Tribolium castaneum: one gene and its partner. The protein of the gene in region 1 purifies or fractionates together with the protein of each later gene. This does not show direct contact. Links are inferred from orthologs where the notes say so. Each region holds a gene or a part of one and is shown on either strand. Other genes may lie near its edges.

The links.
Region 2: the proteins of ScsbetaG (region 1) and Scsalpha1 fractionate together in Homo sapiens (co-fractionation; 6 studies listed by BioGRID and IntAct, counting the BioPlex papers as one, with this or other methods). This does not show direct contact. The link is inferred for Tribolium castaneum from reciprocal best matches to the Homo sapiens genes SUCLG2 and SUCLG1.

The regions. Positions count from the first base shown.
Region 1 is NC_087403.1:5,255,514-5,259,438, forward strand, and holds ScsbetaG (succinate--CoA ligase [GDP-forming] subunit beta, mitochondrial), read left to right. Parts: upstream 1-1,561; 5' UTR 1,562-1,771; coding exon 1,772-1,828; intron 1,829-1,881; coding exon 1,882-2,005; intron 2,006-2,056; coding exon 2,057-2,156; intron 2,157-2,202; coding exon 2,203-3,166; 3' UTR 3,167-3,301; downstream 3,302-3,925. Other genes in the region: pyrethroid hydrolase Ces2a, read left to right, coding at 4-460, 508-722, 768-907. UniProt on the Homo sapiens protein: GTP-specific succinyl-CoA synthetase functions in the citric acid cycle (TCA), coupling the hydrolysis of succinyl-CoA to the synthesis of GTP and thus represents the only step of substrate-level phosphorylation in the TCA.
Region 2 is NC_087403.1:4,748,459-4,752,383, reverse strand, and holds Scsalpha1 (succinate--CoA ligase [ADP/GDP-forming] subunit alpha, mitochondrial), read left to right. Parts: upstream 1-1,369; 5' UTR 1,370-1,497; exon of another isoform or gene 1,498-1,547; intron 1,548-1,599; 5' UTR 1,600-1,626; coding exon 1,627-1,663; intron 1,664-1,855; coding exon 1,856-2,088; intron 2,089-2,292; coding exon 2,293-2,514; intron 2,515-2,561; coding exon 2,562-2,846; intron 2,847-2,896; coding exon 2,897-3,112; 3' UTR 3,113-3,265; downstream 3,266-3,925. Other genes in the region: leucine-rich repeat-containing protein 70, read left to right, coding at 1-10, 58-1,014. UniProt on the Homo sapiens protein: Succinyl-CoA synthetase functions in the citric acid cycle (TCA), coupling the hydrolysis of succinyl-CoA to the synthesis of either ATP or GTP and thus represents the only step of substrate-level phosphorylation in the TCA.

The DNA of each region.
Region 1 (3,925 bases):
TAGTGCAGTGGTTGGAACTCGCAAGTCAGGGCTTCACCCAGTTACAACAATACGTCGAAAAGGTGAAAATCCCCGAAATTGCGCGTTTGTATAAACTCGGGGCGTCCAACAAAGACCACATTTATGACCTTATCAGGTGGCAGTACTTCTCGTCGAACCAAGGGGACGTTAGACTCCTCTACGACGAGTTGAAAGATTTTGAGTTTCAGGCCAAAGTGGAAGCGCCACATTTTTTGCAACTTTCGCACCTGATTTCGTCATACGTGCAACCAATTTATGTTTATTTTATGGATGATGTTGGGTTTGTTCTCAATACAACCGATTCGACCATTACCACAGACCTTCTCTTGGTATTTGGACCGATTTTGCTGAAGCAAGTGGCCAGGCGGCGGTTCAACGCCAACGAAATGAATTTGAGTCGACAAATCAAACAGTTATGGACCAACTTTATAATGTTTGGGTATTTCCCCCAACATGAATAGTCCAAAGTCTAGGAAAAAATTTCAGGGAGCCGACACTAAACAATCAGGTCAGATCGTGGCGAAAATACACCTCGGGGGACTATTATATCGAAAATTTTGGGCCGGTTAATTCCCACATAAATGAAGAAAATAAAAAACGCGTCCAGAGGGTTTTGTTCTGGAACCAGCTCGTGCCAAAAATGGCCAATATTAAGAATAATTTATCGAATAACATCCCGCGGGAGCTACAAAATAGTCCAGGTAATAACTAATTCACAAAGTTGCATTTTATTTGGTAAGTTCTAGACCCGGCTGCAGGTTTCCGGCATGCAATGTACACTTTGGTGGCTCTTGTGATCGCCCTGCTCGCTTTGCTCCTAATTTGCATTGTTTTATTGAAAAAGCGATCGAGGGAGCGGGAAAATCATCTTCATATGGGATATTAAAAATAAGTTGCAAACCAGTTTTCAATTAACTAAATATATTTAGATGTCTCATCACTTGTGATACGTTTTTGGGCGACAAGACAGGACTATTAAGTTTTTTTAATTCTATTTATAAATGTCAGCGGAATCAGGTAGACGGGAAAATATGTACATATCGGTGCTTAACAAACGCATTTATAAATATATTTCGACTGTAGATGTGTCGTTACAACAATTTTATTGTTTTTGTCATCACCTTTGTAAAAATAGTGTCCAAAAATAATTATCTTGTGACCTTCACTGTACATACTTATCTAGTTTGTTATTGGCCATTTATGTACAATGACATATAGATTCCACCAATGGCGAGCACAGCCCCTTATTTAAATCAAAACGCCTATTTTTGTAAATAGTTATTAAAAATATTAAATGTGTACTAAAAATAAAAACTAATAGATATTTATCTGTCCCGTTTAGTTTGTTTTAAAATAAAATCCCGCATTCTTAACCTAGAAACCTAATTAGCACAGGTGGAAAAAGTATAAATATGTGTATAAAAAATACAGTTTTTTGCGTAAGAAAATCGAAAAATCGTTTTTATTACCTTCCCTTTACCAAAAATCAAAATCAATGCTTTTTTCCTAGAGTTATGGGAAAAACCTAACCTAGATCAATATAAAATAACTTAAGGAGTGTGTTTTGCTTAATTATCCCACAAATTGGCCGAAAGTTGCGTCACTGAGCAATTTCTCGCTCCGTCTTTTTTTATGGACAATTATTTCAGATAAAACATTCAGACATTTGGACTTTGTGCATTCGTGCTGTTCCCCAATTAGATAAATACCAGTGATAAGTGTGCAGTGCCTTTATTGCGAAAACCAAACAATGTCTTCCCTCTGGAACTCTCTTTTAAAAGTCCCGACTCAGATAAAACAATTCTCCGTAACTTTTTTACAAATTCGCAAAAAACATGACATAACCTCAATCATTTTCAGGTTCCGGTGCGTTATTTGAACCTGTTGGAGTACCAAAGCAAGCACCTTTTGCGCAAAAATGGGGTGGCTGTGCAAGACTTTTGCATGGTTGATGATAAGGGATGCTCCGAGTTCGATAAATTTAGTAAAAGTGTTAATAAAAGTTGGGGTTATGTCACTGTTTAATTTTTTGCAGATGTGAAAGAATACGTAATAAAGGCACAAATTCTGGCGGGTGGTCGCGGCAAAGGCCACTTTACCAATGGTTTTAAAGGCGGGGTTCATGTCACTGAGAAGTAAAATTTTTTTTGTGGTTTTGTCAAAATTGAGCGTTTGTTTCAGACGCAATGAAGTCGACGATATCGTCAAAAAAATGCTCGGCCACAGGCTTATCACGAAGCAGACGCCCAAGGACGGCATCGAGGTGAAAAAAATCATGATTGCCGAAAGTGTGAACATTCAGAGGGAGACCTACGTTTGCATTTTAATGGACAGGCAGAAGAACGGGCCTGTCTTAATTGCGTCCCCCGCAGGCGGCGTGGACATCGAAGCCGTGGCTGAGAAGACGCCCCATTTGATCAAAAACATCCCCATTGATATTCACAAGGGGGTGACCGATAGTATGGCCAATGAGGTGGCCGAGTTCCTGGAGTTCAAGGGGCCCCTCAAGGGTTTGGCCGCAGCCGAGCTGAAAAAACTGTGGCAGTTCTTCCTCGCCGTCGATGCCACTCAGCTCGAAATCAACCCTTTGGTCGAAACGGACAACAATAAAGTGATCGCAGTGGATGCGAAAATCAATTTCGACGACAACGCGCAGTTCCGCCAAAAGGACATCTTCGCGTTGGAGGACGTCACCGAGAGCGACCCCCGCGAGGTCGAAGCGGCGAAATACAACCTGAACTACATCGGGATGACAGGAAACATCGGCTGTTTGGTCAACGGCGCCGGTTTGGCCATGGCCACCATGGACATCATCAAGCTGCATGGGGGCGACCCCGCCAACTTCCTCGACGTCGGGGGCAGCGTCCGCGAGGAGCAGGTCAAAGCCGCGTTCAATATTCTCACGTCTGATAAGAACGTTAAATGTATTTTGGTCAACGTTTTCGGCGGGATCGTGAATTGCGCGACGATTGCCAATGGAATCGTGGGTGCAATGAAGGCGATGAAGCTTGAAGTGCCTTTGATTGTCAGACTGGAAGGCACGAATGCGGCGGAGGCCCGGAGAATTATCAAGGATTCAGGCATGAATATCCAAACAGCTGAAAATCTCGACGATGCCGCCAAAAAAGCGGTGCAGAATGCCTAACGTGTTTTTGTTGATAAAGTGTTAATTTGTTGATATTGCTCATTAGTCAACAGCACAAAAAACTGTTCAAATGACCAATGTTTTCATTACTTCGTTTTGATATTGTATTTTCGGTTAATAAAAATTTCTCATATACTATTCGTTTTTCATTACACCATTATATCCCAGATAATAGTTTTAAAGTATTCAAAATTTTTTTTCTTCAAATGGCACCCTATTACGATAATTTTTTTGATAAAAGATTATGCTCTAAAATACTAAAAGTACTAATACTTACTAAAAAGAATTTCGAAAATTTATTTTTGAAAAAACTCGTTCCATACTTTTGCCCACCTCTGTATTTAAGGCAGTCAGGTAAGGTAATGTGAATATAACTATAAAATTTGAAGTTTGCTTGATAAAAGTTATGTACTTTTGTGAGAAAATTTTACGGTACTGTTTTTTTATTGCTTTTTCGATTAATCAAGTTTTTTAAAACAATTTTCAGTATTCCTTCATCTTATATCCTAGTTTAAGTCATTAAAAAAAATACAGCACCCTTGTTCCTTGGACAAATCGCAATCATTTTTTAAAATCGTATTTGGGCATTTGAAAAAGTAAGCTTAGATCTTTTTTTTAGTGTTTTAAAATGTTGAATTATTTTGGTACTTTCAATACTTACCTTGAATTTTATTTCTGGTGCTTTAGATATTATTTTTAGATCTTATTGTAGTGAAGTGGTAAATAAAAGAATGTGTTTTTATTAAGATTTATTATTTT
Region 2 (3,925 bases), about 510 kb from region 1:
GTTACTTATGGTATGTATTCGCAACTTTTGGGTGAAAATTTTTGATTAATTTTGTAGAAAACTGTAATTTTGTTCCTGGCATGCATTGCCCTATCGTCGTGCCAAGACGTGGAAATTAATAATAAGTGCTCCTACTCTATGAACAAATCAATTTTTGGATGCCAGGATTTGTCAGACAGTGTGAAAAATATTGACGGGTTTATCACACCCCAAACCCGAATGCTAATGATAAGAAACAGCAACGTACGATTCGCCCCTTATCACCACAATCTGACAAATTATCAACATCTCATTAACTACAACATTATCGATAATAATCAAGTACAAATCGACGAATTTGCCTTTTATGGTATGACTAATTTAAATTATCTCCGAATCACAGGAAACTACCTTCCTGTTTTGAAAAACGACACATTTGTCGGACTTGACAATTTAGTATTTTTACTTTTACCGAAGAATAATATTTCGTCGTGTGAACCAAAATCATTCGTTGGCTTGCAAAGTGTGACACAAATTAACCTTGCTGAAAATAAAATTCAGACAATTCAGAGTAATTTGTTTAGTAATCTTAACGAGTTGAATCATTTGTTTCTTGACCACAATCAAATTAAAAAAATTGAGATGCATGCTTTTGCGGATATTCCAAATCTGGAAGTAATTGATTTGAGTTTCAATAAATTGGAAATTGTAAACACAGACGTGTTTAATGCTGTGCACAAACTGAACACTTTACTTCTCCATTTCAACAATATCAAAACTCTTGCGGGAATTTTTCACTTAAATAACTTAAAGTTCTTAAGGTTGGATAACAACAATTTGGACGAAATTGAAGGAAACACTTTTGCAAACTTGGAAAATATTTATACCATTGACTTGTCACATAATAATTTGTCCACTATAACGAGCCAACCGTTTGTCCATTTAAAATCGCTTAAACACTTGCATTTGGGCGGAAACAATGCCAATGCTTCATTTTTTGAGCGCCTTAAAGAAACGGTCTCTGTTGTAACATAATCTGTATCTGATCTTTGAATAAATAAATGTTATTAAGAATTGGCTGTTTTTTATTTAAAAGCTAAAACGGCTTCATATTTATTTGGTGCTATGTATGGTCAAAATACTACATTTTTTAAGTTTTTGTTTAAAACGCGAATTTAATGGCTTGATAATTTTGCTCAAAACCACAACTTCGCATTTATCTCATGAAATAACATCAGATCACCTTTTTTTACTTAATTTGATTTCGAGCGCACAAAACGAGGAAAATAAACGATTTCTTGCATTATTCAATGTTTTATTGTAAAATTATATAAATCTTTTAAACACATAGCGTTTAAATTTTGAAAATGACTACGGAATAGCATCATCTGTCGGCGGCAAAGCGAACGAGGGGCCACGTGACCTGCAATTTTACCAAAAGCTACTAATAGAACCGCCGCAGGTCGCGCCACCATAGCAGCAAGTGCATTGTGAAAATCGCTTTCGACTGAACTTTCGGTAAATGTTTGCCTAATTTTCTACTTTTGTGTTAATTTTCCTAAAACAAAGTTAATTTTAAAAACGACATGTTGAACGGTAAAATAACGCACTTGGTTTTAGCACTGGTGACAAAAGCGAATCGTCGCAATGGCCACACATACCAGGATATTGAGCCGAATAATTCGTAAGTGAGAAATTACATAACTCTGAATTAAATTTGTTTTTAAAATAGACTGGAACAATCGTTCCGTGTCCGCTTCATTTGAATGTATTTTTGGGCGTAAAGTGTCATTTTAGGGCGAAAAAAAATATTTCAAACACTTAACCTAACAGGTGCAAAGTTCACAAATTTATTGATAATGTGTTGTACTTGCAGCCGACAGCCTGAAAGTTGGACAATCGATCCGGTTTAATAGCTATGAGGCCACTCGAATGAACCTGAAGTTGACCGGGAACACGAAAGTCATCTGTCAGGGGTTTACGGGAAAACAGGGGACCTTCCACAGTAAACAGGCCATCGAATATGGCACTAAAATGGTCGGGGGGGTCTCTCCCGGAAAAGGGGGCAAGACCCACCTGGACTTGCCCGTCTTCAACAGTGTCAAAGAGGTTAGTTTGCCGAAAAAACAGCGCCAGATATGTAACACCGACCATAAATAACGCTCAAAACACAACGCACCTTGTCTTTATTGTTTTCAAAGCTAATTTAGTTGCGTTAGTTGCATAATCACGGCTTGGCAAGTGGTAAAACCTTGAAAATTTTCCAAAATGTCGCGATAAAGTGGCCCTTTGGTACTGATTGTTTGTTGTCAGGCGAAGGCGGCCACAAATGCCGACGCTTCAGTCATCTACGTGCCGCCCCCGGGGGCTGCCGCCGCCATTCTGGAAGCAATGGACGCGGAAATACCTCTAATAGTCTGTATCACTGAAGGCATTCCTCAACAAGACATGGTTAAAGTAAAACATAGGCTTCTTCGTCAGAACAAAAGTCGGTTGGTAGGCCCGAACTGTCCGGGTATCATTGCCCCCGAGCAGGTAATCCGCCCCTAATTTTTGCCCCCTTATGACCCATTCATTATCAGTGCAAAATTGGTATTATGCCCGGACACATCCACCAAAAAGGAGTCGTTGGGGTGGTGTCGAGGTCCGGCACTCTGACGTACGAAGCTGTCCACCAAACTACCCAAGTCGGTTTAGGTCAAACTCTCTGTGTGGGGATTGGCGGCGATCCCTTCAACGGGACGGACTTCATTGACTGTCTCGAGGTGTTCTTGAAGGACCCCGAAACGAAAGGTATTATCCTTATTGGGGAGATTGGAGGAGTCGCCGAGGAGCAAGCTGCAGAGTATCTCATGCAACACAATACTGTACGTTCGTGTTTTTCGTTGTGTTAACTTATTAATGATGTTTTGAGCAGGGGCCTAATGCGAAGCCTGTCGTTTCGTTCATTGCGGGGCTGTCGGCGCCTCCCGGCCGGCGCATGGGCCACGCTGGGGCGATCATTTCCGGGGGCAAAGGGGGCGCCCAAGACAAAATCAATGCCTTAGAGAAGGCCGGAGCCATCGTTACCAAATCACCCGCTCAAATGGGCAACGAGTTATTGAAAGAAATGCGCCGTTTAGGCCTGGCATAAACGCGCTTCATGTCAATTGATATTGTATTATAGTTTATCCATTAAAATCGATTATACCTAAGCAGAGTGTATTTAATCCGCTTATTAATGTTGATAAGATGTGTTCCAGTAACATTGTTATTTCATTCGTTAAGTAAAAATTGTTGTTTTAAACATTTGTTTCATTTTCCAATAAACGAGACGTTAGATGGCACACGAACTTTTATTTACATTGAACAAATTTCGAGCAAATTGATAAAAATCAAAATTTACAACGTGGTTGAGTCTAGGTGGACCAAAGGTCGAAGTTCGGTTGCTTTATTGGTCATATCGAAAATACCTTGAACACTGTTCTAACAGTTCAATCTCTGGTTATTACATAAATGAGTAAGCCGCATCCGTTTTCATTAATGGAAATTAATTGAAACTATAACCCGGAAATGGTTATTTAATCGTATTTTATTATTACTTTCGCGGATTTAAACAGTAATTGTTGAAGGGAATAAAGGAATTATTCCCTTATAAAATGCAATGAAAACTTGAGGAAATACGAGAACCACCAAGATTTTTGGCTTTAAATCTTTTTGTGTGTTTTAATTCCAGATTATCAATTTTATTTTCAGCAGAATTTAAAAAGCGAGCGCAAGCCAATGCACATGCGGAGGCAAATGCATCTTTTTTATGCTAGACGGGGTCAATACTTTCTGTTTCTTTCTAACTTCTGCTGCAGACTATGCGATACCTTTCTCTGTCTCCTTCTACTGTGTGATTGCTTGCGCATTGCATTCATGGACCTAACCTAAACGAAACAATACGTTTTGTACAAACATTTTG